Linked DNA regions of Elephas maximus indicus. The protein of the gene in region 1 interacts with the protein of each later gene in a biochemical or structural test. Links are inferred from orthologs where the notes say so. Each region holds a gene or a part of one and is shown on either strand. Other genes may lie near its edges.

Region 1 (7,567 bases):
CCCCTGCTTTCTGTTTGGGCCCCAATTTACAAACAAGAAAGTCACACCCAGTAGTCAGATGTGCAAAACTCCAAATACTTTCCTACAGAAACACTGTTCTTTGTAGTAGGTGAGTGGGTGGGTGGGTTGGGGCAAAACAAAGTCATTTCCTCCGTTTTTCAGGGTAGCGATTTAGGGGAAATGTGAACTTGGTCCCCCATCCTCCCTTCCTGCACCCTCAGGCTCTCTTGCATCCATACTCTACCTCCCAGAACCTGGGAGGACAGTGTAGACTATTATTGTTATTGTTATTAGTAACAACTCACATTTACTACAGTTACAATGTGTCAGGCACTGTGCTAGATGTTTTAAATCAATTATCTCATTTAATTCCAGAGAAACCATATACGATGGACATATTGCTATCTCCCTTTTTACAGATGAGGAAACTAAGGCTCAGAGAAGGTAACTGGCAGGGGAACGCAAAACTAGCTTTGAGCTTCAAACCGGGCATTGCAATCACTCTGCTACATTTAACTGCCCGCTGGTCACTCGTATGGTTTAAAATGCAGCCTGTTACCCAGGAGATCTCTACCTGGGAACCTCCAGCCAGTGCCACCAATTCAACACAGCACAGGGAACATCACAGAAGCATGGAGTCTGATGCCTGAGGGATGTTCCCAGGGCTATCCCTGTTCTTTGCTGTGTCTGTCCTTCCTCCACTTTGGAATCTAGTCTTCCAAATCATTAAAAAAAAAAAAAAAAAAAAAGAGTTCCCAATGGCTGACAGGGCAGATGGAGGCATAAGGGAAGAGGCCACCACTTCTTAGTTCAAACGGCTATGTCAGATCTGGAGTTTTTAGTTGAGGTTGGCTCCGTCACCACACTTTCCTTCCTCCCAATCTCCTAAAACATCTAAACGCATGTACACCATACTCAGAAGATCTATCAGGGCCTCCCTTGGGGGTGTCACTTCCTGACCCCTTCCTCCACCCGGACTTAGTTTTGAGCCCCGATCTCTCCAACAACAGCCTCTGGGGGGTCCTGGCAGGAAGCAACCCACGGTCTACAGTTGTAGACACATCATCTCTTCACACTTGGAGGCGGGGGAATGGAGGGCTGAGCTGAGTGTGCACGGGCACCCGTTAAGTGGGGTAACACTCTGAAAGATGTGGGGTTTCTCGAAATCCCCCACCTCCCTCCTCTCACCAGAGACCTGATGAAAAGGAGCCAAGCCCAGGTTTAAGGATGGCAAAGAGGCAGGAAACCAAGAGTAGCCCTTCCCCGTTCCCTGCTTCCACCGGACACAGGATGAGTGACACAAAGGGCTAGTTCCCAACCTGGCTGAGCACTACTGAGATGAGTACCTGACACCACTGCACTCAGGGAACGTGCTCCCAAGGGCAAGGGAAACTGGCCCCTTTACCAAAAGTCTGTGTCCTGGCAGTGGGTTCTACTGACCCACACAAGCCTCCAAAACTCAGCTTCAGGACAAAAGAACCAGCAGAAAAGAGCGGCCACGGACTTCTCTCAGGCGTTTTCAAACCAAACAAGACCACCTTCCTCCCTCTTCCCAAGAGGGTGATGAGTAGGCCTGGCTCTGCCCCCCAACCAGGCCGACCCCAACATCTGCAGAAGTTCTACTTAAGGAACCCCACGGTGCCTCTTTCAAACAAGAGCCCAGCCAGAGGGCCCAGAGAGTTTCCTAAAGCCCGCTCTTTCTGGAGAGAGTGGTGGGCGGTGACCGTCTGCTCGGGTCCCAGGTTTTCCGCGGGGTGGGGGACGCCGCCTTGCCGCCCCTCGCTGCGCCAACACCGCCCCCCTGGGCTGGGGGGCCCGCTGCCTGCGCCGCTGGGCTGCGACTCGCTAGGATTTTTAGGCCTCCGGGCAAAGAGCCTGGAACACTCCCCCCAGCTGGGGGAGGGGGTGTCCTGTCAGGTGACCGAGGCCCGGATGCCCCCCGCCCCCGGTGACCACCGGAGACGCGGCGGGGGCGGGGGCGGGGCGGGGGCTGGAGGAAGGCCCGAAAGTTTGCCCGAGTCCCGCGAGCTGCGTCGGGGCGCGCGGGGCCGGGCCGGACCTGGCCACCCCGCGCGCGCCGGGCCGGGGAGGGGGCGCACTTACTGGCCCCCTCGATCTTGTCCGCGCCGCGGCTCCACGTGATCTGCCGCGTCTCCAGCTTGACCTGGAAAGTCTTCCGCTCCGGCCGCTGCGACTTCTTGGAGTAGAACAAAGTCATGACGGTGCCCACCTCGAGGCTGCGGCAGAGGTGCAGCACCTCGGCGTCCGAGGGCGCGCCGGGCCCGCAGCCATTGGCGCAGGGGGACGCGACGCCGGCCATGGCTCCGGCTCTGGGGGCGGCGGCGGCGGCGGCGCAGGCCCGGCGGCCCGGAGCCGGAGGTGGCGGCGGCCGAGGCGGCTGAGGCGGCCGGCGAGCGGGACCCGAGGCTCCTGCGGGCGGAGACGGGGGCGGGGCCGGAGGCGGGGCGGGGCCTGAGGCGGGGCGGGGCGGCTCGTGCAGGCCCCGCCCCGCCCGCGCGCCGGGAACAAAGGCGCCCGCGCGCCCGTGGGGAGGACCCCCGCCCGCCGCGCCTGCGCCCCGCGACCCCCGGGCAGGCCCCAGGCGGGGGCGGGGCTCGAGGGCCGCGGGGGCGCGCGCCGCCCCCCGTCAGTCCGCCGGCTCCTCGGCCCCGCAGAGCGCCCCGCGCGGCGCCGGACACAGCCTGCCCGCCGCGGCCGGCCCCGGCACGCTGGCGGCCCCGCCCACAGGCTGCAGGCCCCGCGCCGGCCGTCAGTCGCACCCGCGCGGGAGGCCGCCCAGCCCGCTGTCCCGCACAGGCCCAACCGCAGCCCTTTCCTCAGCCCCGCGCCCCACCCCCGCGCCCCAAGCACCGCCCGCGCGACGCCGCGTTAGAGCTGTGGGGATGTCGAGCGCCCCCCGGCCCGCCCGGCCTAGCCCAGTTACCTGGGCGGGCTGCCCGGCGGAGGGAGCCAGGCCAAGCCGGGCCGCCTTACACCCGCGGCGGCGGCGGCGGCGGCGGCGGCGGCGGCGGCGGCGACGGCGGCGGAGGCGGGTTCTCCGCGCGCCCTCCCGGGGGGGCGGGGCGGAGCCGCCTGCAGATTGGCCGGCAGGCACTGATGGACAGCAGGCATGTCCCGCCCCCTCCCCTCTGTCCGCGCGGGGCTGGTCCGCAGGCCGCTGTTAAGACCGGCAGTCCCACATCTGTCCCGCCCCTGCGGCCAGTGTGGCGCTCAAGGGTACCCCCATTTGGACAAGTCCCCCGGGCCTAGCATCCCCGGCAGGGCCTGTGGTCCCGCGGCCGCACTGTCCAGAGGCCTGCGTCTGTCCCTCAACGACTACAGCTCGTCCTACCCCCCGCTCCGTCCCAGCGGGACAGGTCCCCGGTCAGAGTCAGGGCGAGGGCCCAGGTCCTGCCTGAGCTCTGGCCTTCCCGCCGGACTCTACTCGTTTTCCACCTCCCTCTCTAGCTGCTCCCTGTTGGCCTCAGAAGCTTCTCTTTCTGTAGGCTCAAGTCTGAGTCAGTTCCCAAGGTACCTGACTTTTCCCAGGGCTCCAACCACCACCCAGACACCGTGACATCAAATCTGTATCTCTGCTGCTCTCCAGGGCCAAGCATCCCACTGCCTGCCCCACATCTCTCAACACAGGCACCTCACCTTCCAAATTGCTCTTCCACAGTGGTCACTTTCTCAGAAAATGGCAGTAAACTCTTCTGAGTTGCTTTGGCCAAAACCTTGGTGACATCCTTGATCCCTCCTTCTGTGTCAACCCCACATCAATCCATCAGCAAGTCCTGTTCGCTCTTCCCTCAGATTTCTCTCCACTCCACCCACAAGCCCAAGCCACCATCTTTCTCTCCTATTTTACCCATTGATCTTGCATGCTTCTACTCTTGCCCTCTGCCTCTATTCTCCATAGATTAATCTTTAAGTTATATCATCCTCCTCTATATCTGACCTAAAACCCCTGGATTTCCCATTGGACTTAAAATCCACACCCCCTACTTGGCCTGGAATGTCTCCTATGATCTGTCCCCACTTTGTCTCACCGTCCCTTTTCACTCTCCATTCTCCAGCCACAGTGCTTTTTGTGATTATTTGAAGAACTCACACTGTCTTCCTAAAGCTGTTCCCGAGACCACCACCTCCTTCTCTGCACTTTAGCTGCCACTGTCACAGAATGCCACCAGAACTGAGGACACATACGGTCACAGTAGAGTCTCTCATACAGATATTGAGCGAGGCAGATGGTCAGCAGCCGGGCAGAGCAGGTCAACTTACTGCACTTCAGAGTGTGAGGCCCAGCATACACAGCTGATGCCAGAGAGAGATCCAGGTTACCTGGAATTTGTGAGACTATAAACCTATACTGCAATTTGTGAGTATGTGAGGTTGTGTGCTCAGGCAATCCACAGTCGTACTCCAATAGCTGAGCTGGGTAGGTCTGGGCTGCCAGGTCTTGCAGAAACAGTAACTCTTTTGCAGTAGTGTGTGTTTAATTCCCTCGAGCACGGCCACTAAGAAGCTCAGAATTCCAGCATGAAGTTGGGAAGCTTTGTCCTAATAGGTTCACCTAGCTTCAGCACCTAAGGGGAGATGCGGCAGCTGAGATGGACTGCCACCTAGCTATGGGCCTTTAAAGTGGAAGGCAGGGAACTAAAGCTGACCCAGTGCCTTGCACATGTGGTCACACCTAATCTCACAACTACCCTCTAACTGGGGACTTTTGTCCCCATTTTACTGATAAGGAGACTGAGAGAAGGTCTGCAATTTGCCCAGAGAAAACCATGTAACAAGTGGGGTACTTTGCATTTGAACCCAAGTTTGCCTGATTCCATGCGTTTTCTGCCTCCCAAGAGAGCCATTGGCTTAATTAGGCCCTGGTGGTTAGTAGTCAGTGGGCATGGAGGCTAGCTGGCTAATCAGTGTGGGTAAGGAGGCATGCCCACACCGGCCTTAAGCACAGGGTACCCCACAGAACATGGGTGCTCACAGAGTATGGCTTGGCTTGCTTGGTCTTAATGAGGTCCTGCCGACTTGACGGCACTGGGTGGGCCCCTGAATGCAGTCCCTGAGTTTTCCTGTGCCAGGCACTGAGGCCACTAGCTGACGGATGGGGAAGGACTCAACCACAACAGCCCTCCAGGAGTTCAGACATTAAACGAATACTTTATCACATAAGGGCAATATATGAGGGCTACAGAGGAAAAGGACGGGAGACTATGGAATAAAACATTAAAGAGACCTACTTCAGACCAAGTAGATAGGGAAGACCTCTTTAGGACTCAGTGGAAGTCTAAAGGACGTGAGCTGATGGCCCGATGAATTATTAGGGTGTGTTGGGGGAAAGTGTTTTCCAGACAGAGGGAACAGCACGTACAAAGGCCCAGAGGCCAGAAAGAACATGGTGAGTTTAAAAATAGAAAGAAGGCTAGAGTCTAGTGAATGAGGGAGAGTGTCGGGGATGAGGAGACCAGGAAGAAAGGTGGGAGCCAAATGGGGCTCCTCCATGCCTATCCAGTTCTTGTCCATTTTTCCAGGAGGCCCCTGTGCTGACTCGGGCAACCTGTGGGCTGTTATGTGCCGTTGAGTTGGTTCCAACTCATAGAGACTCTGTAGGACACAGTAGAACTTCCCCATAGGGTTTCCAAGGAGCGGCTGGTGGATTGGAACTGCTGACCTTTTGGTCAGCAGCCGAGCTCTTAACCACTACACCACCAGGGTTCTTGTGGGCTGTGATATGCCTTAAATATCTGGTTCTCTATTTTCTGGGAGCTTCCCAAACGTGAAACCCAGGCTTCCCTGCTCTTGCTTTCGCCTCTGGAGTTTGGCCCATGGGGGCTCCACAAATCTCTGCCAACAGATCATGTTTTCGATCTGCTGCCAGGGCCCCATTTCATTTCCTCCTGGGACTTCTGGGCCAGCACCCCAGGACTCAGCTGCCTCCCTCCACCAAAGGAGGTTCTGGAAAAGCAGGGCGCAGCGCAGAGGGCGTGGCCGGTATGGGCTTCTCCCAGCTCAGCATATATATATGGGTGCGTGGGTGTTACTGGCAGTATATGCAGTTGTGCCTGCTGGGAGGGAACAGCCCCAGCACCCACACAGGCACACGGCTCTGACATCACCAGGCTAGACCTGCTTGGTCCTATTTCTGTGAACACTCATGCTTCAACATGCCCTGCCTACACCAATGTCTGTGTCCGGAGTCTGGGGAGGAGTCCTAGCCCAGCTGCCCTTCTGTCTTGTGAACTTGGCCTCACAGGTATTTGTTTTACTTAACACTCCGAATAGTACTTGATGCAAAGCAAGCACCACATAACTGCATTACTCACATTGGTTTATTTACTCCTCATTACAACCCTTTAAATACTAATGTCCCCGTGTCACAAACGAGAAAACACAGAGGCACAGAGAGGTTAAGAGACATGCCCAAGGTCACACAGCTAATAATTCAAAGCCAGGCACTCTGGCTCTAGTCAATGCTATGTTGCCTCCCATGTAATATGGACATTTTATTGTATCCTCCTTTCTTTCCCTAACACTACCTGATCTGTTTTCTATTTATAGTTTTGTTAAATGCTGCTGCAGGTTGAGTTCTTCTAGAAGCTGGCTCTATGACAGAGGTTAGTGTGCCAAATGTTTATTAAAGAGTGCCCTTGGGATCAACACTGTGGAAGGGAGAGGAAGGAAACAGGAGTGGGCAGAGGGAGAAATTAAGCTGTAACGTAAGTCTGACAACAGTGAGCCAACCCCACAGGGAGCCTTTATTGTTGTAGTTGTCGAGTTGATTCCAACTCATGTAGCTCAGCCTCAGTCACTGGATGTGGACTATCCTGGGAAAAGCACAACCTTGGCAAGACAGCTCTCTGCAGCTGAGGTGATCTTAGAGGAGCTAACAGCTAAAGGTTATCTGCTGACAGCTTTCCCAGCAGTTGGGGCAACAAGTCCTTGCTTGAACAGCGATCTGGGTGGTACATTGCTATGCCCACCACAAATGTATTATTTTCTAGCCCTTTAAAAGTTGAGCATTTAAAAGAAAGGACAAAAATACTACAGTACAGAAATTGGATATGAGATCGTAAGAAGGAAGAAGATAACCATATAGGTTAACATGACTACTGTGAGAATCAGATGTGGCTTGAGCTTCCTGGCAGCCAAGGCAAAAAGTTTTCTCTTCCTTGGGGGAGAAAAATTTTCCTGCGGTTAAGTTATAAAACCAGTTTCTCGAATGGACATTTATTTGGTTGAACTAGTGGAGAATGTTTTCAACAGATAAACAGCAAACACTAAAGAGTCTTCATTTGTCTGTTCCTTGTAATGACTTTGGGAGGGAATAATACGAAAGAAATGCTCAGTGAAGCTCCTTCCGCAATCTAGGGTATGCAGATTTATAGACTTGCAGTGTCTAATCTGATCCTTTGAACTCTTTAATTTTTACTCAGCAGTTTCATGTTAGATGCCTCACTTGCTTCTCCCTGCGTTTGTCAGCCTGCACCTTACTCAGCACACAGCCAGTGTACTCACCTCAATCCACCTTGAGCTCCACCCTACAACCTGTGGTCTTGGC
Region 2 (7,792 bases), on another chromosome or scaffold:
AACGGTGCTTTTCTTGAGTTAATCACATCCAGTCACCACCATCCCGAGCAACCAGGGTACAGAGGTTGGTAATCCTGTACTCGGTGGATGGCACGACACAAAGATAATCAAGTTTTTAACTTTCATGCTTCACAGCTTCATAAAGATTCAAGACACTTCTACCTTCTCTCTCATTAGGGCTGTGAACCATTTTTTTGTTCTTAGAAACTGGAGGCTTTTTGGTATAGTTCTCTCTTTGCTATTAGCACTAGCTGAGTGACCTTGAGAAGCCTACCGTAACTCTCTGGGTTTCTTTACCAGGAAAATAAAGAGGCTGAACTATACGATCTTTAAGGGCCTTTCAACTTTAAAATTCTGTTTCCATTGTCAGACTTCTGACTCAGTAGCTTTTATTTTCTATTTTTTTGGAAATAGTAATTCAACTTGTCCCCCCCTTAAAAAGCTTTATGAAACCACAGTCATAATCCATCCACCCTAGGGGCGGGTCCATGAAGCAAAGCAAGCAGGCAATCCCAACTAGCCAGGTGAGTTCCATGTTGAAAACAAAGCGCTGGCAATTTGGGTCTTATACTGACTGCACTCACAGTGTGTGTTCCAACTTGATCTTCACTCAGGACAAAGGCTGCCGGCAGAGTCGGCCTCTATAGGAAGTAGGCCTCAAAATAATAGCTTTATAGCATACTAAAGGTCTTCTGCAGCCATGCTGACTGCAGTCACAGGAACTGGCTTGACAGCGACATAAATTTCACCCATTAATGGGGCTGAACAGGCACACCAAAAGGTATACACAATTACGTCCACTCCAGCTAATTACAGCCTTGTGGAGTAATTTTCAGAAATAAATATACAACTAATTCCTTGTAAACGTAAATTGCTGAATGTACGTCTCGCTGTTGGGCACAACAGTTTTATCAGTATCTGTGGGCAAAAAAGTGCCCAAAACTGAAGGTGGGACATTCAGGTCTTTCGTCTGAAATACTGATTTATAAAGCATTTTGAACTTTATGTGAGTTTTTAAAATCTTCAAAATAATTTACCAGTTTTTCACTGCACAGACAGTATTAACAATTACCCTTTGTCTAAGTATATTTATTTTTCAAAAACTTATTCTGAAAAATTTCAAATTTATAGAAAATTACAAGAGTGGCACATTTAATTACAATTTTTTTAAATTAACAGACTCATTCCAAATTTATATTTTCAAATTTTCATGCTCTTAAGGGTTGAGAAGTATAAATCCTTGCATGTATGTAAACAAGGAATATTGTGGTATTCACAGAGTATTAAGCCACTGCCCTGGAGTTGATTCTGATTCATAGCGACCCTACAGGACAGAGTAGAACAGCATCATAGGGTTTCCAAGGCTGTAAATATTTACGGAAGCAGACTGCCCCTCTTTCTCCACTGGATCCGCTGCTGGGTTGGAACTGCAGACTTTTCCGTTGGCAGCTGAGCGCTTAAACCACTGCGCCACCAGGGCTCCTTACCAAATTATTACTATTTAGTTATATTTGTGTATTGGAAACAAATCCTAAACATTTTAATAGCATAACAAGTAAGGGAATGTATGCCGTTAAAAAAAAAAAATCATTGGCTGTCTCTCCAGCGTGAGGCAATGTTTTAAGGCGAGGGACAACTAGGAGCGACATTCTCAGGGCTTTGGGTAGAAACTGCCTTAAGAGTATACTGTTTTTAAGAAGTCAAACTAGAACACATTCTTATTGAAAACAACTCCACACGATAAAACAATTTCAATTTCAAAAACAGAAAAAAAAAACTTGTGTATTTACACCAGCCTCCTGAGTCACTCTGTCCCCGAGACGAGAGAGTAAAGTCAGGAGACCCCCTCAGCCAAATTGTGGGCCTTAAAGAAGCAAAGTCCTCAAGACCACCGCCCGAGTGTGCGAGCGGCCCCTCGGTCCCCCGGCTGAGGATCTGGGGACAGAAGCCGGGCGGGCAGAGGCGCCTGCGGCGGGGCCTGACGGACGGGGCCTCGGTGCACCAGGCCCCAGGCCAGCTCCCCCCTCCCCCCGCCCCGCCTCGCGACTCGACCCAGTGGACGGGCCCGGGCCACCCCCGTCCCCCAAAACTAAATGCGGCGCGGTGGGGACTGTCGCCTCCGGGGCCTCGCCCTCGCCCCGACGCCTGTCAAGGGCGTATCCGGAGGGGCCTCCCTAAGCGCGGCAGGACGAGCTCGAGGGGCCGGGCGACCCCGGGGAGGACAGGGAGGGCTGTCACCCCGAGGGCTGTGCGTCCGCCGAGGTGGCCTCCACCGACCTCCCGGCCTGGGCACAGGCAGAGGCTCAGCCCCGGCGCTGCGGCCCCGCCTGTCATCGAGGTGGGGCCGCCGGCCAGGGAGGGGACGCGGGCCCAGCTCACCTTGGGACCCTCGGGGGGCACGCGCGGGTCGTTCCACGTCGTGGTGCGGCTGTTGTGGTCCACGAAGAAGGGCCAGCCGGTCTGCGGGTCGATCTTGATCTCCCAGCCCGGGGGCAGGGGGTCGCGGTCGCCGGCGCCGTTGCCGGACGCCATCTGCACCATGGGCGAGTGGGTGGCTGCGCTCATGCTTGTCGGGGTCGGCCCGGAGGGCGGCCGCCGGGGTGCCGGAGAGCGGGGTCTCGGGGTGCTGGGGTGCCGGGTCACGGGGTGCCGGAGTGCGCGGTGCCGGGTCACGGGGTGCCAGAGAACTGGGTGCCGGGTCGCGGGGTGCGGGCTCGCGCGGTGCCGGGCCTCCAGGCGCCGAAATGCTGGGCCGCCGCCGCGGGGACCTCTCCGCCGCCGGAGCCTGAGTCCTGCGCCGCCGACGTGTCCGGGAGGCCGGCGCCGGGCACCTTTATGAATTAAAGGAGGGGGTGACGTGGCCGGAGAGGGGTGGAAGTGTCTGGAAATAGCCTCCTTGCTGCCAAAGGGGACGGAGAAGATAAAGGGAGGCAGCAACTGGCCGGCTAGAAACTTCTGGTCCCATCCAGAGAAGTTGGCGGCGGCCTGGCTTGGATGCGGAGCTCCGCCCTGAGTCATCGGCTATAATCGTGGCGCGCGGGGCGGGGCCAGGCCGGACTCCCCTCCCCCACCCCTCCCCGAGAGGGCCGCGGGGCGCACCCAGGCCGTGCGAGCCCCCAGGGCGTTGCCTGGGGTCCCCGGGCGGGTTTCGGGTTTCAGACTCGCTCCTTCCCCTGCGCGTCGCGTGGGTGTCCCCGGACTGGGAGTCCGCGCGCCGTGCGGCTGCTGCCCCTTCTTTTCATAAAAACAAAGTCATCGTTAGCCTTTAAAGTCGTTTTGAGCTGGAGATGTTACGGTCCTTCCGCCCCCCCTCCGCCACCGACACACCGGTATTTGGGAACAGGGGCGTCGCTCAGTTACGTTTTAATCACTTTCTTTCATGGAGCTTGAGGGCTGTTTGGGGAGGGGGTGGTCTGGAACGTTGATTGGACACTGAACAAAGCCGGGCAGAAGATGGAGCCGCAGTGGGAACTCACCTGCCTGCCTTCTGAAACCTAAAGAAGGAAAAAAGATTGCTCCAGCCGATGGTTTTATTCTCCTCGAACGTCATATCTCAAATACAGAAACTTTAATTGCGGTGAATAACTTTAAAGATCACATTCTTTTGGGTTTTGATCGTTATTTATGGTAGAGGTTCTTGCTAGGAGAGTGAAAGGTGAAATCTTAAAGCTTGACCTTCATTTGGAAAGTAGAGACCAAAACGTACAATTAAAATTTTCTGTTTGGTTGATTCAATGGTGGTTGCACTTGTAACTTCAACAGAACGCCCTGGCTCCCCTGGGAGGTCTGCGTCCCACAGAGAGAATGTTAAGGAGGTTCCAATTTAGACCTCTAGGCATGTCGACTCAATGCCTTCCCAGAAAGTTTGAGAAGCTGCCTTGGAATAATGTTAGGCCCAGTTTCCAACTCAAATTCAGAGAATAGGTCTGTAGCCCTCAGAAACACCTCTTGTTTCTTCCTGCCCTCAAATGACCCCTAAGGAGGCCTGCCAATCATTTCCAAAGGAATGATACCCACTTTAAAAAGTATACTTATCGGCTTTGAATGGGAAAAAAAAAAAAACTCATTTTCCTGAAAACAGAAAGGTGATTAGACCCCAGACACTGACTCAGGTAACCAAACACACAAGAGACTGATGTATAAACCCCAATGGCAGTGCATTAATTTACCAAAAGAAAATTACTGTTGAAGAAACTGGGCCCTCAAGTTGACCTGTCAGTGTCTTATGCTTTCTTGCATCCGATGTCCTGAACACAGGACACCGCCCAGAGCCCATATTCAATAAATGTTTATGTTCATTGAAAATCAAACTCAAAGTGAATTTGTATTTCTATTTTCTTCATTTGTTCAATTTACTTTCCACTACAACTACAGTTTAAGCACTGAGAGCATTCTTCACTGGCCTTTTTTTTTTTTTTTTTTTGATAGAAGCAGAGAGGAAGGAGGTTCCTCTGGGAATAACATAGCTGCTTCTGAGGACTGTACTCCACCAAACCAAACACCAAACCCATTGCCATTCAGTCGAATTCCAACTCATAGTCGGATCCTGTAGGACAGAGTAGAACTGCCCCGTAGGGTTTCCAAGGCTTTAAATCTTTGGGGAAGCAGATTGCCACATCTTTCTCTCACAGAGTGGCTGTTGGGTTCAAACTGCTGACCTTTCCATTAGCAGCCAAACGCTTAACCACTGCACCATCGGGCCTCCTTTGTAGTCCTCCAGGGATTTCAAATAGGTTTGTCTAAAGCAGAGCCCTGAGTCTTGGAGAGCTGATTGGAAGAAGCCCCTCTGAGCCATGCTGAATAATGAGTAGCATGTCTGTCTTATTACAGATTCCTCATGATAAGAAAAGACTTTGTCTTTGTCCAGAAGCAGGTGATTTAGCTCAGTGGAGGCCTTAGAACCAAATGAACAAAAAACTAGCAATAAGAACAAGACTCAGGTGTTAATCCTCTGAGTTTTGGGCAGTGAACTTGACTTGTGCTCAGACTTTCCCGTCAGCCTTAGCCACTTTTCATAGGCCAGAAGGGTGTAGCCAGATGACCATAGATCCCTTCTACAAATGAGGATTTCTGCTCTCCATCCAGTCTCTCCTCGAAGAGCGAATCACAGTACCTCCCAGCCACGGTGCTTTCAATAAATATAAATTTTACAGAAAGAGACTTGGGAAGAGTTGTCTAAGCTTGCTGCCTGGAGCCATCTCAGTGATTACTTATCAAATCAACTAACTCAAAATCTTGACTGTTTAGAATTTCTCTACTTTTTGTGAGAAAAACAGCCCCATACCACCAGTCTGAGGTCGCTGCCCTTCCCTCTGCCTTAACAGCCTGTTGAACAGTTCGGAATTAATTACCTTGACGTCTTCTGCTGGACTGTGAGCTCCTTGAGACAGGAGTTGGCTTTCATTCATCCCGATATCAGCACCTAGTCCATTGTCTGACATATTGAATAAAGATGCTTCATAAATCCTCGTTGAGTGAATGGGATAGTGAGCTGATACGTGTGAATAATTCAAAAACCACGCCTAGTGTATGCCTTGAGGTCAGTCTTAATTTAATTCACCTATACATTTTTTTTATACATCTTTTTTTTTATCTTTACATCTATAGAGCCACACCCATTCCAGCTCCTCCCATTCCTTTTGCCTGGCTGACTTCTCTTCATTTTCAGGTATCGTCTTCAACATCACTCACCTCCGCCTTCCTAGTCTAGGTCATGTGTCCCTTCTAAGTGCTCCCATATAAATCCTTTGCCACCCTATCAATTACACCACATGGAAATTGCTTATTGGATCATCTGATGTGCTCATGGATCAAGTTTTCTGGAAGGCGGGAGCGGAATCTTGATCACCACTGTATCCCCAGCATCTAGCACAACGCTAACAGTTGTAATGGCTACCATTTATTGAGCGCTTACTGTAATCCAGGTACTGTGTGTTAAGGACTTTATGTTAGTTGTTTCATTTCATCTTTGAGGTGGAGGCTGGGATGAGCTGCCCAGATCCCCTTCCAGGAATAAGGGTCTTATTCCCTACCTGCCAAGAACAATACAGGAAGACCTCTCTCAGCTGTTAGTCCCCTTTGAGAATTGGCTCAGCTGGAGAAAATTGCCTTTTCCAAGGTCATACCTCCTTCCAGGGGCAACCCGCATCCAATGACTGATCTGTTGTTGTGGTTACTTGCGGTCGAGTCAGCTCCAACTCACAGGACCTTGTGTATAACAGCCCGGTCCTGCACTAGCCTCATGATCTGTTGGTATTTTTTAGTCCACTGTTGCAGCTATTGTGTAGTGCCTTCCAACCTGGCGGGCTCATCTTCCAGCATTATATCAAACGATATTCTGCTGTGATCCATAAGGTTTCCATTAGCTCATTTTTGGAAGTAGATCGCCAGGCCTTTCTTCCTTGTCTTAGTCTGGAAGTGCCACTGAAACCTGTCCACCATGGGTGACCCTGCTGGTATTTGAAATACTAGTGACACAGCTTCCGGCATCACAGCAGCACACAAGCCATAGCAGTATGGCAAGCTGACAAACTGATGGTGGAATGACTGATCTACCAAGGGGTATAAAAAGCCCCGACCCTTTGTCCCAACTAAGGATAGTTCTGAAAGGCAATCCCAGCTCCAGGGCTGGCTGATGGCTTTCCTTGGGATTACATCACAGCTCAACTCCTCCCTCTGCCCAATCCTGCTTCCTGCCCTCCGCACTCCCTAATAAGCAACCTGCTTGCTACCTTGTCTTGGCGTTTGCTTCCTGGGGAACCAAACATAGGACAGTTCTCTCAACAACCTTACGATGTAGGCGTTATTATGATTCTCCTTTTATAGGTGAAGAAACTAAGGTTTGGAGAAGTGAAGTAACCTGCTCCAAGTCACACAGCCAGGCACTCAATAAATATGATACGTGACCTGATTGTTTAGTCCTGTTCATCACCAAGGGAAACAAATTAAAAACTGTAATTCAAAAATCCAGGTTCGTGCACATATTTTTCTCAATGCTGAAGAAACAAGGGCAGCAACAGGCCCTGCCATGGAGGATTACAGATCAATCCTGTGAACAGGGTTTAAGAGACTGGCGGAGTCCCAGCACAGGTCGCAGACCGGGCCTCCAGCCCACCTACAATGGTGAGTTTTAAATGAAAATGTCACCCGAAAGCTTTCATTCAGTGTCTGGATGAAAATCTGGATGATTTAATCCATCTCCCGTGGAACACATGAGCTGGCAGAGCAGAACAGCCAGTTCTCCTCAATCTGAGCGAAAGCACCATTCACCCCAAGCTGAACCTGAAAGTCATTTTTGCATGTCTTTGGGGTGTTATCAGGGACCAGCCCATGCTGCCAAGCATACTTTCCAGGTGGACCCTTCTACTCTGGGCAGCCTGGACAAGGGGAGGCCAGGGCCAACTGGATGTGAGCAATGGCCTCTCTAGAATGTTCTGATGGTCAAGTGCATTGGGAGAGAAGTGATGTCTGCTCTGATTATGCTATGGAGACTTCGATGATAACCCTAAATACACCCTGTCAAAAAAACCAAAAACCAAACCCACTGCTGTCGAGTCGATTCCGACTCATAGGGACTCTATAGGACAGAGTAGAACTGCCCCGTAGAGTTTCCAAGGAGCGCCTGGTGGATTCCAACTATAGAGGTGAAAAAATCAGAACCTGGCAGAGCAGCAGAGCTTAGGATTTCAGCACTAACTTTGCATCTGTTTGTTATTAAAAGTTAAAGTCTGCGCTCTCTGACCTCACATGGCAGGTACACCCTGTACCAGGCATCTGGGTCTTTAATCATAAA
Region 3 (7,949 bases), on another chromosome or scaffold:
CTGCCTTCTGGTTTCCACTCTCATATTGCAAACAAATGTCCTTATTGTGGTATAATTAATGTCATGTTTTCTCCATGTTTGTACTTTTTGTCGGTGATTTCTCTGTTTAAAATGGCCCCGAAGGGTAGTGCTAAAGTGCTATCTAGTGTTCCTAAGCGCAAGAAGACTGTGATGTACCCTATGGAGAAACCATATGCTGTTATAAAAAAAAAAAAAACTGTTATAGGTGGTCACTAATTCCGTGTTCACAGTAATTTCATAGAACAGAGTTACCGTGAATAACAAGGATTGCTTGTACTTTATATATTAAGTTGAGCTATATAAAATTGCCTATATCTAACCATTTCTATCTATGAAATGGTACTTTCAAATAGTTCAGCCTAAGTACATTCTCTCTCTTCAACTTTATCATTTTATCATGACGTGGGTACTCTCATCACACCCATTTACAGATCAGAAGACTGAGGCTTTAATTTCAAAATAAAAAGTTCCTTCTCATAAATATTACGTTATTGCTTTTTCTGGGGAATGCACAGTGCACTTCTTTGTGCAAATCGGTGGCCCTAAACAATGGGAGATAATTAGGACATGAATCTGTAATAACTCATTTATCTTAACTTTCTCAGTGACCTTGGAGAAATTTCTAACCAATAAATTTCTATACTATTTAAAGAAATGCTTTTAAAATAGTTATTTAGGTATATAAACTGTAGGCATTAGAAAACAAAAAACTTGATTTTTGTTTTCATGTATTTTCTATATCCTATACGGAAACTTTAGGGATTTTAGCCCAGGGCTCGCCCATGCACAGAATGAATTATGCTGTAACTTTTCATAATGCTCAAATGAAGCACAGTGATTTCACAACATCGTCTAAAGAAAAATTATAACCAACAAAATTCTGAATCAAGACCACTCGGCTTGTGATTATTTACGAATACTACTGCACTGAACTCTCTGCTTAGGAACTGTTATCAGTATCAGGACTAACAAGTGAGATGGTGCTATGTGGAGTCAGGAAAAAAAAAAATTGGCAAAAACTGTAACGTGGACTTTGAAAAGAGAATATTTAAAGGCCGGTGATAACTCTTTCAATATGGAACAAGAACCTTAGATGTCCCACTCACAATAAGAAAAATATTGACTGATGCCATGTGATTTATCAGCTCTGTATGTTGACTCTCTGAAGTTCAAAACTTGGCTACTGGCCCTATGTTCCTTTAGTCAACAAATATTTATTGAGCACCTATCAAAGGGGCCTTCTACATAATCAGTAATCACCATATGTTTTCTGACTGACCGGTATTGTTATCAGTTAGAGTCTGCTGAATTGCTTCTCGTTTTGTGAAAAGGAGATGAGCAAGTCTTATCCCCTCTTAAAAAAAAAGAAAAAAAAAAAAAAAGGCAGTATTATTTCACCTACTGCATAAAAGGGTCAATCACCCACAGGCTGCATATAACTGTCCAGCCTTATTCAGGACTCCATTCACTGAATGCTTCAAAGCCTGACTCTCAAAAGACCCCATCCTCCTGCCTGCACTTACTAAGTCAGATCCCAACAAGGACTCAGAGCAGCTTTGTCCACACCTGACCATTAAGCACCTAATGTTATTTCTCCTTCAGTAAAATAAAGGTGACAACCCCTTTCCTACCACCCTAATAATGGAAAAAGTACAGTGATATAGTAAGAAATCAAACATGTATTGATGAATTGCTCAGAAGTACTAAACAAGTGCCTCTTCATTGAATAAAAGAAATTTTTAAAGAAGGAAGGGACCTTTCTTTTTAAAGAAAGAAAGAACAAGAGACTCTTGCTCAGGCTCAATCATCCAGTGAGAAGTGGTTTGGTCTCCAGATCACTTGCCCAGTGCTTTTTCTACCAAACTACATTGTTATGATTATTCATGTTGCTCCTGTAATTGCTGACGTTTCAGAATGTGAGAGTATCTTCAGATATACAAAAAGATTGACTTAGCTAAGCAGCGATTACCTTATGGATAAGAGCCGCTGGTCCTCACCACAGGTCACTTTTTGCTTGGTAATACTAGTTTCCTGGGAAGTTTTCCAAGGGCTTAAGGGGTTTACCATTGTGCCATGCAAATTTTGGGCAACACCGTATTCAATTAAATGCTCAGGGAATATTATTCCAAGATGTCAGGCGACTGGTGACCGTTGACACAAATGGGTTGAATTAAAGAAAATACTGATTTTATCTACCACAGTTTGAATTCTGGCTCCACCACCTGACTAGCTGTCAAATCCGTGGGCAAATTACTCAAGGGCTCTGAGCCTCTGGACCCATCATGTAACCATTCCTGGTACCAGTTGCCTTCACTGTAAAATAAGGAAACTGGGCAATATCATCTGTCAGCTTCCATCAGATGTTAATATTTTATTAAGCAATGTCCCATAACACGTAGCATATTTCAAATGAAGTTCAAGTTATATCTAATCAAAACATTTGCTATGTATAATATTATCATAATTTTAAAATTAAGCTTAACCCTTGCGGGAAAAAGAAGCTGATGGCTATTCAACTCACAGCTCTATGATTTTTAGAACTGAAACCACCATGTACAGCTACCTCACCTCTTGACAAGCATGTCTGTGTCCCCCGTTTTCTATTTTATTCCATATAAATCACCCCAGTACAAATATAAAATACTATTCAAAGAAAGACAAAACAAAGTGCTCACATACCCCATGGCGGTCCTCAAAGTATGCCAGGCTGGTTTTGGTTAAAACAAAGAAGCGAACTTTAAAGTTCGAGGGAGAAGTTCTTCTCTTCTGTTGGGATTTCTTGATGAGCTGTTCTTCCAGGAGGATAAAGTTGTTCATGATCCAATTCTTGAAAAGTGATGTGCCTTGGGCATCACCCCTTAGCACAACCAGAGGAAAGAGCTTCTGGGCAAGGAATGCGACGGGGAGGCCGTTGATCTTCAGAGAGTTGTTCAAAGGCAACTTGCCTCCAACGTTATCTTTCTATCAAGGTTCAGTCAGCATTGCAGAGCTTCCCCCTGATGTCAAAGACTAAAACCACATCCTTTCAAAATTCACAAAAGAGGTATATGTGAAAAAAAAAAATTACACCCTTTGCTACATGGTTTGGAAATGGTATTTGAAGAACCTTAGACTCAAATGATATTAAGGACTAGAATTTAATCTTTAGTCCATCTAACAGCACAAGGGGTAGGAATATGGGCTCTGGAATCAATTAGGCCTACCCAAGTTGACATACATTTTTGAGGAACACAATTCAATCCATAACACTAGTCATATATCTTGCCTTATGGTTAGTATGTAAGTTGAAACATAGTATGTGAACCCTACTTCCAGCAAGAAGTAAAGAACCAAGAAATCTTAGTGTAAGCAGAGATGGTATGTACTGGACAGGGATAAATAATAAAACAGAAGACTCATTACTGCCATATAGGAGTTCAAATCTCTAAATTTTATTTTTAAAAATATAAATTACTAGACTAGAGCCTAATTTTGTATCATATATTGAATGCCCCGGCATAATCAAAACACTCTGGGAGAAGTTAAGGAGGAGAGTATTGTAAATGATGCCCCTAACCTTGTTCTAAGATTTTAGGATATTATATGTGGAAATACATTGTCCAATAGAGGTTGTATTTTGTTTGTTTTTTCTGGTACAAGAATTGCTATTTCTCCCAAACATGTGCTCTCTCCTTCTTCCTGCGTAACTGATTCTGACATCTGGCTAGCCAGAATAAAGACAACATTTCCCAGCCTCCCTTGTAGTTTGTGTAGTCATGTGATTGTGCTCTGGCCAATGGGACACAGTGGAAGTGGTGAGCATGACATCCAGGAAATGTCCCTTAGTGGGAGACTTTGCACCCTTTTCCCTCCTTTCTGCTGACCAGATTGTGGATGTGATGGCTGGATCTGGAGCAGGTATCTTGCAGCATGAGGTGGAAATTGCATGCAATAGAGCACAAGATTGAAACACCCTAAGGTCCTCATGACCATGGACCCTCCATGCAAGGCCCGGATAGCCTTTTTTAGCTTAAACAAAAATAACTTCTAATTTTTAAGCTTCTGTTATTTTGAAGTTTCTGTCACTAGCAGCAAAACTCATTCTAACTAATACAGTGCTACCTTCCCCAACTAAACTATAAACTCCTTTGGGGAGGGTAGATTTATTCCTGGTTGTTTCAGATTAAAAGATTTACAGACATCATACAAGTGTTCTCATCTGAAAAAGCAAAATATTGTCAGTAGCTGTGGTAATAGTTGGGAGTTTTTCATTTGCCAAGCCTCCGTAAAATACAATCAAGAATTCATCTTATCCTCTCTCTTATAGTATCTTCGAACTCACTCAGAGAAGTTAGGTTTTGCTCGCTCAAATGAATAATTTCTTTGATAAGGATCAGCACAAAGCTAGTTCCTATAAGGCAGAGGTTTAAGATGTCCCAGATGTCCAGCTTTTCCAAGCTGCTGTACCACTCCATCATCTCTAACATCAACCACTCCCTCTCCCCTCAGCACTCCCCCTCCTGCCACCATAAAGCCATTCCAGCATGACTTCCATGAGCGGCACACCAGGCGCTTCCTCTGGAGTGTTCCATTGGGTATTTAGAGGGGGAGGGGGCAGTTTCTTTTCTCGGAATAAACAAATCTCACTGCAAATTTTATCCAGTCCATCAGGCTGGCTGTCTCCTCTGGGGTAACCTGCTGTGTAAATGCATCTAGTATCGCCATTTGTGAATGTTCCATAGTAAGTTGTGGCTCTTGTATCAACCCAAACACATTCTTCCATTCTGCAGCATTCAAAACTAAAGACATTGCTCCTAAATGAGCCACTTTCCCAATTCATTTAGTAATGCCGATCTACAAATTGAAGCAACTCCTTTACACTATACCCTCTTAGTTTTGTCCGTTTCCTCACAGACTACCTTCCTGATGAATAATGGTCATAGAAGAACTGTTGTTCCAATCTGATTTTTCCTTCCTTGGTTGGCCCTGAGACTAGCGGTCTTAGCTCTGACTGAACTGAATCTGGGCTTGGTTCAATGCTAAAATCAGGCCCTACATTCTTTTTCCCTGCCATTATAGCTATTACTGATAACAGAACCAAGGAATCTTATGTTTGGCCCTTCCTTTGTCGTTGTTAGGTGCCGTTGAATCAGTTCCAACTCATAGCAACTTTCTGTACTATAGAATAAAACACTGCTTGGTCCTGCACCATCCTCACAATCCTTTTTGTGCTTGAGCCCATTGTCGCAGCCACTGTGTCAGTCCATCTTGTTGAGGGTGTTCCTCTTTTTCCCTGACGCTCTACTTTACCAAGTATGATGTCCTTCTCCAGAGACTGATCCCTTCTGATAACATGTTCAAAGTATGTAAGATGTAGTCTCACCATCTTTGTTTCTAAGAAGCATTCTGGTTGTGCTTCTTCACAGACAGATTTGTTCATTCTTTTGGCAGTCCATGGTATATTCAATATTCTTCAGCAACACCACAATTCAAAGGCATCAATTCTTTGGTCTTCCTTATTCATTGTCCAGCTTTCACATGCATATGATGTGATTGAAAATACCATGGCTTGGGTCAGGCGCACCTTAGTCATCAGGGTGACATCTTTGCTTTTCAACACTTTAAAGAGGTGCTTTGCAGCAGATTTGCTCAACGCAATGCGCCTTTTGATTTCTTGATTGCTTCTACCGTGGTGCTGATTGTGGGTCCAAGTAAAATGAAATCCTTGACAACTCCAATCTTATCTCTGTTTATCATGATGTTGCTTGTTGGTCCAGTTGTGAGGATTTTTGTTTTCTTTATGTTGAGATGTAGTCCATAGTGAAGGCTGTGGTCTTTGATCTTCATCAGTAATTGCTTCAAGTCTTCTTCATTTTCAGCAAGCAAGGCTGTGCCATCTGCATATCACAAGTTGTTAATGAGTTTTCCTCCAGTCCTGTTGCCCCTTTCTTCCTCGTACAGTCTAGCTTCTCAGATTATCTGCTCAGCATATAGATTAAATAGGTATGGTGAAAGGATACAACCCTGATGCACACATTTCCTGACTTTAAACCATGCAGTATCCCCTTGTTCTGTCCAAACAACTGCCTATTGATCTATGTACAGGTTTTTTACAAGCACAATTAAGTGTTCTGGAATTCCCATTCTTCACGATGTTATCCATAATTTGTTATGATCCACACAGTCGAATGCCTTTGCATAGTCAATAAAACACAGATAAACATCTTTCTGGTATTCTGTGCTTTCAGCCAGGATCCATGTGACATCAGCAATGATGTCCCTGGTTGCACGTCCTCTTCTGAATCTGGCCTGAATTTCTGGCAGTTCCCTGTCGATATACTGCTGCAGCTGTTTTTGAATGATCATCAACAAAATTTTACTTGCCTGTGATATTAATGATATTGTTTGATAATTTCCACATTCGGTTGGGTCACCTTTCTTGGGAATAAGCATAAATATGGATCTCTTCTAGTCAGCTGGCCAGGTAGCTGTCTTCCAAATTTCTTGGCATAGATGAGTGAGCACTTTCAGCACTGCATCCATTTGTTGAAACATCTTAATTGATATTCCATCAGTTCCTGAAGCCTTGTTTTTCACCAATGCCTTCAGTGGAGCTTGGACCTCTTCCTTCAGTACTGTTGGTTCCTGATCGTATGCTACCTCTTGAAATGGTTGAACGTCAACCAATTCTTTTTGGTATAGTGACTCTGTGTATTCCTTCCATCTTCTTATCACTCTGCATTTCCATATGCATCCAAATAACCAGTTCCTCAAGAGTTAGATTCACCCTTCCTAAATCCCATGACTAGCTTTTGCCTTGGGTAACTGATTACAACATACTTAAATCCACCGGTGTTTTTTCATTCCATCCCTAAACCAAAAGTTTCTCATTCTTCCGTTTTTCATCTTCTCTCTGCTCTGGAATTGGCTCTTTTTTAAGGCAAAACCAACCAATCCCCCTAGTGGGCCACAATTATCTTATTTGCACATCCCTGCCCAATCACCTGGGTGGGAGTTATAAGACCATGCCAAGAAAGACCATACTAAATAATTTATCACACTGCACCACTCCTAAATGAAACCTTGTTGTTGTGTGCCTTTGAGTTGATTTCGACTCATACTGACCCTATAGGACACAGTAGAACTGTCCCATAGGATTTCCTAGGCTGAAATCTTTATGGGAGCAGATTGTCAGGTCTCTTCTCCCACGGACTGGCTGGTGGGTTCGAACCGACGACCTTTCAGTTAGCAGCTGAGTGCTTAACCATTGCACTACCAAACTCAAACCTAACCCATTGCTGTCGAGTTGATTCCGACTCATAGTGACCCTATTGGACAGGGTAGAACTGTCCCATAGGATTTTCAAGGCTGTAATTTTATAGAAGCAGACTGCGGCATCTTTCTTCTGCAGATCAGCTGATGGGTTTGAACCACCAAACTTTTGCTTAGCAGCTGAGTGCTTAGCCACTGTACCACCAGGGTTTCTTCATTGCAGCACCAGGGCTCCTTAAATATACCAAAAAATCAAAACCAAACCCAGTGCCATTGAGTCGATTTCAACTCATAGCGACCCTATAGGACAGGGTAGAACTGCCCTGTAGAGTTTCCAAGGAGCGCCTGGTGGATTTGAACTGTCAACCTTTTGGTTAGCAGCCATAGCGTTTAACTATTACGCCACCAGGGTTTCCCCTTAAATATAGCCTTAAAAAAAAAAGAAACCTGTTGCCATTGAGTCGATTCTGACTCATAGTGACCCTATAGGACAGAGTAGAACTGACCCATAGAGTTTCCGAGGGGAGCCTGGTGGATTTGAACTGCCGACCTTTTGGTTAGCAGCTGTAACTCTTAACCACCATGTCACCAGGGTTTCCAAATACAACCTTAGGTAGGTCCAATATTTTCCCCATTACTTTCAGTAAAACATAAACATATGTTTTGTTCTGGCTTTA
Region 4 (7,830 bases), on another chromosome or scaffold:
AGTGGGAAAATACACCCTTTTCTGTCACAGGCTTCTGGGGACAAAGAATCCAAGGGAGTGAATGGATAGTAAAACCACAAAGACAACTGGAAAATAGGTTCCAGACGAGGTCTCTCGGGCCAAAGCAACGTTCTTGGGCTAAAAAATAACAACTGGCTACCACTTATTGAGCACTTAAAATCTATGTGCCAGTCACTGTGCCAAGTGTGTTACATGCATTATCTCATTTAATTCTTTGATTAATTCAGAACTTTAATTCAGAACTATTGTTATCCTCGTTTCACCATCCAGGAAACTGAGAGGAGTTAAGTAACTTGCCATAGATCACATAGTCAGTATGAAGAAGCAGAATCAGAATTGATACCCAGAATCTGTTTGACTCCAGAGACCAAGTTCATCCTTTCAGAGGAAGACAACTCAGAAGCTTCAATCCCTCCACACGTACTCTCTAGTCTTAAAGTCAGTTGCCTTCCAGTTGATTTCAACTCATGACGACCCCATGTGTGTCACAGTAGAACTTTCTTCCAAGGAGCCTCTGGCTGGACTTGAACCTCCAACCTTTTGGTTAGCAGCAGAGCATGTTAAGTGTTTGCACCACCCAGGGACTCCTCTCTAGTCTTGCCTTCCTCAGTTACCCAAGATGAGTTTGTAGATTTTCACATCATTTGTCATCCTTTAGGATTCAGACACCACTTCCCTGAGCCATCTCCTTTTCCACCAGGCCTCCTGACCTCTCCTCCCAGAAAACCCTGCACGTGCATCTGGGTGGCACTACCTATAACATTTGGTTTCTCCAACAAGACCTCCTTGAGATGGTGCCCTTGTCTCTTACATGTTTGGATCTATTGTGCCCAGCACAGTGCCTGACACACAACAAGTGTTCCCCCTCCCCATGCTTGGTGAGTAAATGTACCATTAGGATCAGACAAGCTGAACTGCTGCTGTTGCTGGCTCCGCTTCCCGCTCCCAGTTGGTAGGAGAGAGTGAAATGTTATTTACAAAAACACCAAGCCAAACAAGACCCTCCCTTCCCTGACATGCTGAAGCTGTGCTAGGAACAGCCAGGGGTCACCAAATGGTGGCCAGATGGTAACTGACGGCTGCTCCCTAACTCCAGGGGCCTGGGGCAAAAGCCTTTGCCGCCCACCTGCTCCCAGGGACCTGTGAATGATCCACTTCTTAGGGAAAACACAGACAGTCCCCTCCTCCTGAATCCCCTTCTGCAACCCGCTCTCAGAGCTGAGCCTGCCAGTTGCCAACCTGTCTAAGGAACCTCTAGCCTTGGGCTAGAGCAGAACCATGGCCCAACCTCGCCCAGTACAGATGTCCCTGGCCTCCCCCCACCTCCTTAGTGGTGAGGTCTTCACTCTGCAGTACCTACCCGGTGTAGTAGGGTGCTCGTCCCTGATGGGGGCTGCTGGAGCCTAATGAAATAACCAAATTCGGAGCAGGGGTGCATTGGGACAGTGGGAGTATGGCGAGAGAGGAGAACTACCTCTCGGTGGAAGAACTTCGAGGACACAAGTAGCCTGAAGAAGACGGGAGGGATTTTCTGCAAGTGTTCCCAAACAAAGAGAACTGAACAGGCTTTGGGGAGAGCTCTCTTTCCCTTGGTTTCATTCAGCACCATTCCCCTCCCGCCTCAGATCCGGGAGGCAACAGGCCCCCAACTGGTTATCAGGTCCTCGAGCATGAGGGCCTTTTGTCTCCCCCTCAGACATCTAGCTGGCAGGGCAAGGGGCCTACAAATCCTCCCTGACCCTCCCAGCTCTTTGTTATCTCAGAGGGAAGATTACATTTCTGTGTGGGGAGGCAAGGTGCCAGGAACCCTCAGTGCAGGACAGGCGGGCAGAGCTGCCGTCTGACCCGTGCTGCCTGGGGCGGTTCAAGCGGCCCTGGGGATGCTCTCCTCCACTGGCCCGGGGCCTTTCTTCCTGGGACTGAAGTGCAGGGTCTGCATTTCAGAAAGAGAAGGAGGGGAGTGGCACGGATGAGGAGCGGGACCAGAATGATAAAAGCAGTCAGCTCTCAATTATTCAGGAGCCCTGTCTGCGGTCAGTGTATCCCTCCATTAGTTTCTGGATTCTTCACCTCCATTCCTTCCAGCCGTATCTGACTGTTCCCCTAAAAACTCGGGGAGAGAGAGCTATCAAGTTGGCTACTTGCTTCATTTTGGTTTCTTGCTAAAACTGTAGAGGAATTTGTTGGGCGGCAGGCCTATGTGCCTCAACACCAATCAGACAAGACATCTAGATCATTCTGTTTAAATCCAGGACTCATTCTTCAGCCTCCTCTTTTGGGTTCAAAGCACTCCCCAAACGCTTCCAAATTAAAATGAAAGAAAAAAAAAAAAGAGCTCGATTTAAAATCTCATGAGCTTTTTTTTGTTTGTTTGTTTTAAAAGAATCATAAGGAGGAAGGATGATACTCTCTCTTTCAGGGATAAAGTGGGAAAATAGTAGTTGTGTGTTAATATTAAATTCTGGATTTTCCATGACTTATCTTCTCGATCATATTCCCTCAAATTGTATTTCCTCTTGTGCTAACCCAGATTTGTTACCCTCATCAAGTCCATCAACAACAAATATGTATAAAAAGTCTCCTGAGTACAGACTCCTAAGCTAGACTTGATACATAAAAGGGATCCTTGCTCTAGAACAGTTCAGAAGCTAGCTAGACAGAACACAGAGTAAAAAAAAAAAAAGACAACTAACAAAGGCTATTTTAAGTATCAAATGAGTGGGTTATACCGGAAGGTCAGTAGGAGTGCCAAGGATTGAATGGGGCTGGGAACGGCAAAGGAGGTGTCTCTGAGTGGAGAGGAGTGTGAGTTTGGCCTTCTTACAGATGGATGAGCATTATTTTAAAAGCCGAAGGACTAATGGGTGGACAGCTTATATGGAAAAGTAAATGTAACCTGTCCAGGAGCTGGAGGGCTGAAGGGATGAAGGGGTGAAAAACCTGTAAACAATGGCTGAAGTCCATTTATTCCACCAATAGGTGCTTTCCTGCCATTTAGTTTTTGATTTATTCATTTATTTAACAAATATGTACTGAATATTTACTCTTCGGTCAGTCAGTACACATTTATTGAGTGCCTAATTTTTTTTTTTTTTTACTATGTAGATGATGTTGTGTTGGTCACTATTCTTTCACCTGCTGGTCAAATGGAGAAATAACCTAGGGACTCATTCCTTTGTTTGGGAAGCCCAATCTCGCTCTATATCCGAACCTTTAATGACCTTGTGGATTGGGGTGGAGTGGAGGTGAGAGAACAGGCCCTGCCATTAACTTACGTAGTTATTTCTATTTGTGTTAACACTTTGGGTGCCCTGACTGTCATTATTTTATTTGATTTCGTGACAACCTTGTGAAGGAGTCCCGACAGATACCTCTGTCTCATTTTTTTCAGACAGCTGACTTGCCCAAGCTCAAATAGTTCACAAGTGGAGGACCTGAAATCAGGTCTCCTTCATACCCAATAAGGCCTACCTTCCACCCTCCCAGTGGCCCCCAACCTGGCCTCACATCACAGGCACCATGGGAGCCTCAGAAAAAAATACAGATTCCTGACTCCTTGGAGCCTCTGAGTAGGTCCAAAAATTTATATTTTTAAAAGTTCCTCAGAGAACTCATGTACATTTGGATTAGGCAACTACTAGATAATACCAAAGGAGTCCTGGTGGCAGAATTGGTTAAGCGCTCGGCTGCTAACCAAAAGGTCGACAGTTTGAACTCACCAGCAGCTCCGCAGGAGAAAGATGTGGCAGTCTGCTTCTGTAAAAGATTATAGCTTTGGAAACCCTATAGGGCGGTTCTACTCCATCCTATAGGGTCACTATGAGTTGGAAGCGACTTGAGGGCACACAGCAGATTGTATCACTCTGTTGCAGAACCCAAGGGAAAGAACGTTTTAGCCACCTTTTCTGGGGTTCCTTACAGCAATGCAGGGTGCGGCATGGGTGAGCTCTGATTAATTTCCAAAACAACACTCATTTTTTGCTTTCTAACATTCCCAGCAGGCCCAAGAATGGCGCTGTAGAGTTTACAGGGCCAACTTCCCGTGGGCCACAAAACCGAAGGGAAGTGATTGGGGAAAGTGAGATTGAAGGGAAGGCGGGGATTGACCTTCACATGAATTAAAAAAAGAAAAAGTTTTGTATTTATTGAGTGTTAACTATGTGCACATAGCTATGTCCTAGGCTCTAAACCTAAAACCAAACCCGTTGCCATCAAGTTGATTCTGACTTGGAGTGGCCCTATAGGACTGAGTAGAACTGTCCCGTAGGGTTTTCTCGGCTTTACAGAAGCACCCTGCGCGGAGCGGCTGGTGGGTTCCAAGCGCCGACCTTTCAGTTAGCAACTGAGCGCGTAACCACTGTATCACCAGGATTCCTAGCTCAAAACCTACATCTCATTTAATGCTCAGCTCTATATGTAAAGTACTGTTATTATTTCCCCTTTTACAGATGGGAAAATCGAGAGTTAGAGTGAGTAAATCATTTCCCCAAGTCACACATTCAGACTCCAAAACCTATGCTGTCAGGGACAACTTCAGGGTTATCCCGTCAAACCACCTCACTCCCCAAACTGCCAGTCTGCCCATGGCCTGAAATACGGGCGCCTTACTCCCCATGCTCGGCTGGAAGGGCGCGGGCGCCAAAGGAGACCAGACTTCAGAAAAGGAAGGCAGGAGTGCCGGCCAGCTCAGTCCCGCTGCCCCCTTCTCCGGGGCTGCGGCTGAGAACTACAAGGCCCAGCAGGCAGCTGCAGGGGGCGGAGGAGGAGGTGGGACTAGCGGGGTGTGGGAGTGTGAGAGCCCTCGCGCCTCGCCGGCGCACAGCGCTCGGAGCGCTCCTGCGGGCACTGGTGCGGAGGGCTCGGCAGCCGGCGGCGGCGAGCAAGAGTGGGAGCCCCGGTCCAGCCGCAGCGCCGGAGGAACCCGGGCCGTGCCCGGAGCGGGGCGGCAACGTCCGGACAGCACCGAGACTCTGCTTAGCGCATTGCGGCGACCTCGCCTACCCCAGCGGCGAGCTCGCGCCGCAGCTGGAAAAGCAGCCGAGACCGAGGACTTTTCTCCGGTCCGAGGGGGCGCTCCGCAGGTCGCACCGTACCAGTGCTGCAGTCGGGCACGCCGCGGCCCCCGCAGGGCGATGGAGCCCGGGCTGCAAGAAGCGTGAGCCACCGCCGCCCGGTTCGGCGGAGGGGGGGCGTAGGGTCTGGAGACCCCGGGCGGCGGACAGGAGCCCTCCCCCCTCCCCGCCTCCGGGGCACCAGCTTCGGCTCCATTGTTCCCGCCCGGGCTGGAGGCGCCGAGCACCGAGCGCCACCGGGAGCCAAGCGCCGGCCGCGGGTTTCTTGCGGCCCGGCGAGAATCCGAGCGGTGCCCGGGGGCGGCGGGCCGGAGCGGGGGACGCCGGCACCCGCCCGCCCGCACAAGCCACGGCAGACTCTCCAGAGGCGGAACCGCAGCGCCGAGTGAGGTAAGAGCCACGGCGCCCCCAGATCCGGGGCGGGCTCGGCGTCCCGAGCGGCCCCCGGCGCTGGAGCTTGCTGGCTGCGCGCTTCCCCCCACTGTAGCCCAGTCGGGTCCGGCGCCTCCCTCCACTCGTTACCCGCCCCCCCACCTCTGGGCTCTGCGCCCCTCTTTTGTCTCCCCCTCCGCCCGCGTCGCCTTCTGCGCCCCCTCCCCGCGCTGGTCCCGCCGCTCCTCCTGCTGCTCAACTTTTCCGCCAACTTGTGCTTTGGAACTGGCGAGGCGGCGGCGGCGGCGCGGCGGTGAGTCCGGAGAGGGCCAGGGCCAGGGCCGAGGCTGCGGCGGCCCTGGGGCTGCTCGACCCGGGAGGAGGGCGGGAGTGGGCAGCGAGGTGGGGTGTGTGTGTGTGTGTGCGTGAGTGTGTGTGCGTGCGTTGCATTCCACTCCATCTCATTTTGGTCCCTTCCTGGTGACTCACCCCAATCCAGCAGGTAGCCTTGGACTGAACGCTAAAAATCTGTGCTATTTCTAAGTCCTTTTCTTCCTCCGGGAAAGCCTGGGGTCGGAGTTGGGGGTGGGTGGGTAAGGCCTTGAAGAGGGAAGGAAGGGGAGGGGGCAGGATCGCTTCTCTTCGAATAGGTTTTAAGGAGGTGTCGTCACCAAATGGCTGAATCTGCTTTAGCGAAGGGCGAGGAAGGAATTCCTCTTTCCAGAGGAGGTTATCTTCTACTTAGTTTGGGGAAGGGGAGCGCACCCAGCGGGTGATGTTACATCCCATATGGGGGGAAGAGGGGAACGTTTACTTCCTATCTAGTTCTTGGAGGTGGGGGAAGGGATGAGGGTTTTCTCTTGTGAGGTTCACTCTGTAGCGATGCCTGTGACTTTTCTGGCCCAGACCCCTCTGCTCCCCGCTGCCCCCTCACGTTATGTTTGGGGTGGGGAGAAGGGGGGCTAGAACCCTTTTTTGCAGAGGAATTTATTGACGTTTTAGGTGGGGCTCATACAACACACCATGAGAAGGCAGCCAGGCACCTCTTTTTGGGGTGATGGGGTGGAGTGGGAGGGAAACCGGCATGTCCTTTCTGGGCCCAGAGCTATTAGCCCTTTAAAAACAAAACAAAACAAAACAAAAAACAGTTCTGCGGTGTCTTTCTCCCGCAACACTTTTTTTTTTTTTCCTTTTTCCGTTTTCCAGATGTAGCAGCCGCATCTGGTTCCGTTTCACCCCACACGGGTACACCGAAGCCACATTATTACCATCCTTCTTCCTCCCCTCCCCCAAATGAAAATTAGGACTCTTCAACACGTTCTTGCCACCTCCGCCCTTAAAATTTCTAGAGACTTGAGGATGAGGTGGGATTCGGGGAGAAAAGAAAGTTGTCTTGGATCCCACGTTCTTTAGTTTCAGCCGTTGGTGATGGTTGGGATGCTTTCTAGATTGTGTAGAAAAAAGAGACGTCGTGGGAGATGGGGCCAAGGTTTTGGGGGGTGGCACTTACGAATGGTTCATCTGCCAGAGAAGGCCTCTTTGGCCGTGGGTCTGACCCAAGATTGGCCCTGATGGAAGTTTCTGGAACCAAAGCATTGCTGTCTGCTTCCTTCAGTTATCGCTGGAGCTGCGAAACTGTCTGCCCCTGTCCGGAGCCCGCGGTCCCTCCGAGAAGCCGGTCTGGGGCTGCCCCAGCGATGGCAGTCACACGTCCCTTTTGCACTCAGTGTCCAGTGGCCGAGGGTGGGGGCGTGCGAAGGCGGTGGGACTGCTGCTGCCAGAGGCGCTCCCTGTGTGTTTTCAAGGAGTTATTTGGGCTGCAGCCCCCGGAAACGAAAGTGGGGCACTTGACCATTTAAATAAATAACGGCTACGGCTACAGGCTACAGGTTTGAAAGCCGGGGTTGGATTGTTGAGTTGTCCTTTTGTAATAGCCTTTGAGGCAGGAAAGCACCTTCTGGTCCAAACTTGAGAGAAGGTGGGAAGAATTGGTCTCTCTCGCCCTCTCCCTTGCAGTCTCTTTCAAATTGAAAACACTTCTCTGGTTTCCTTCTTTGGGCGGTAGTTTTGGAGGCTGTAATGAAATCGCACTTTCTCTAGACATGGTAATTAAGGTGACTGTTTCCCTCCCAGATGTGCTATGCCCTGTGCACCTCCGGACCCGTGCTTTTTTTGGAATACTGTTTAAATTGTAGAACCTTAGCCTTGAGAAGGTTTAGCAGAAAGTAGCCATTTCCCCCCCTGGGCCAATATCCCAGTTTCCTCTCTGAGGCTAGTTTAAAAGCTAAGTAGCAGGGTCCCGTGGGATGTGCCTGGGTCTAGCTAATTACCCCCAAGCCTGGGTCATCTCTCTTCCTTTCAGTGA

What was found.
Region 2: the proteins of PLCG1 (region 1) and BAG3 form a complex in vitro, tested with the Homo sapiens proteins (2 studies listed by BioGRID). The link is inferred for Elephas maximus indicus from reciprocal best matches to the Homo sapiens genes PLCG1 and BAG3.
Region 3: the proteins of PLCG1 (region 1) and ITK form a complex in vitro, tested with the Homo sapiens proteins (2 studies listed by BioGRID, with this or other methods). The link is inferred for Elephas maximus indicus from reciprocal best matches to the Homo sapiens genes PLCG1 and ITK.
Region 4: the proteins of PLCG1 (region 1) and FGFR1 form a complex in vitro, tested with the Homo sapiens proteins (4 studies listed by BioGRID and IntAct, with this or other methods). The link is inferred for Elephas maximus indicus from reciprocal best matches to the Homo sapiens genes PLCG1 and FGFR1.

The regions. Positions count from the first base shown.
Region 1 is NC_064843.1:28,313,592-28,321,158, forward strand, and holds the start of PLCG1 (1-phosphatidylinositol 4,5-bisphosphate phosphodiesterase gamma-1), read right to left. Parts: upstream 3,005-7,567; 5' UTR 2,945-3,004; intron 2,431-2,944; 5' UTR 2,321-2,430; coding exon 2,104-2,320; intron 1-2,103. UniProt on the Homo sapiens protein: Mediates the production of the second messenger molecules diacylglycerol (DAG) and inositol 1,4,5-trisphosphate (IP3). Plays an important role in the regulation of intracellular signaling cascades.
Region 2 is NC_064834.1:70,242,036-70,249,827, reverse strand, and holds the start of BAG3 (BAG family molecular chaperone regulator 3), read right to left. Parts: upstream 3,008-7,792; 5' UTR 2,566-3,007; coding exon 2,380-2,565; intron 1-2,379. UniProt on the Homo sapiens protein: Co-chaperone and adapter protein that connects different classes of molecular chaperones including heat shock proteins 70 (HSP70s), e.g. HSPA1A/HSP70 or HSPA8/HSC70, and small heat shock proteins (sHSPs), e.g. HSPB8.
Region 3 is NC_064820.1:173,658,423-173,666,371, reverse strand, and holds the start of ITK (tyrosine-protein kinase ITK/TSK), read right to left. Parts: upstream 3,010-7,949; 5' UTR 2,839-3,009; coding exon 2,701-2,838; intron 1-2,700. UniProt on the Homo sapiens protein: Tyrosine kinase that plays an essential role in regulation of the adaptive immune response. Regulates the development, function and differentiation of conventional T-cells and nonconventional NKT-cells.
Region 4 is NC_064840.1:62,286,749-62,294,578, forward strand, and holds the start of FGFR1 (fibroblast growth factor receptor 1), read left to right. Parts: upstream 1-4,826; 5' UTR 4,827-5,483; intron 5,484-5,490; exon of another isoform or gene 5,491-5,778; intron 5,779-7,830. UniProt on the Homo sapiens protein: Tyrosine-protein kinase that acts as a cell-surface receptor for fibroblast growth factors and plays an essential role in the regulation of embryonic development, cell proliferation, differentiation and migration.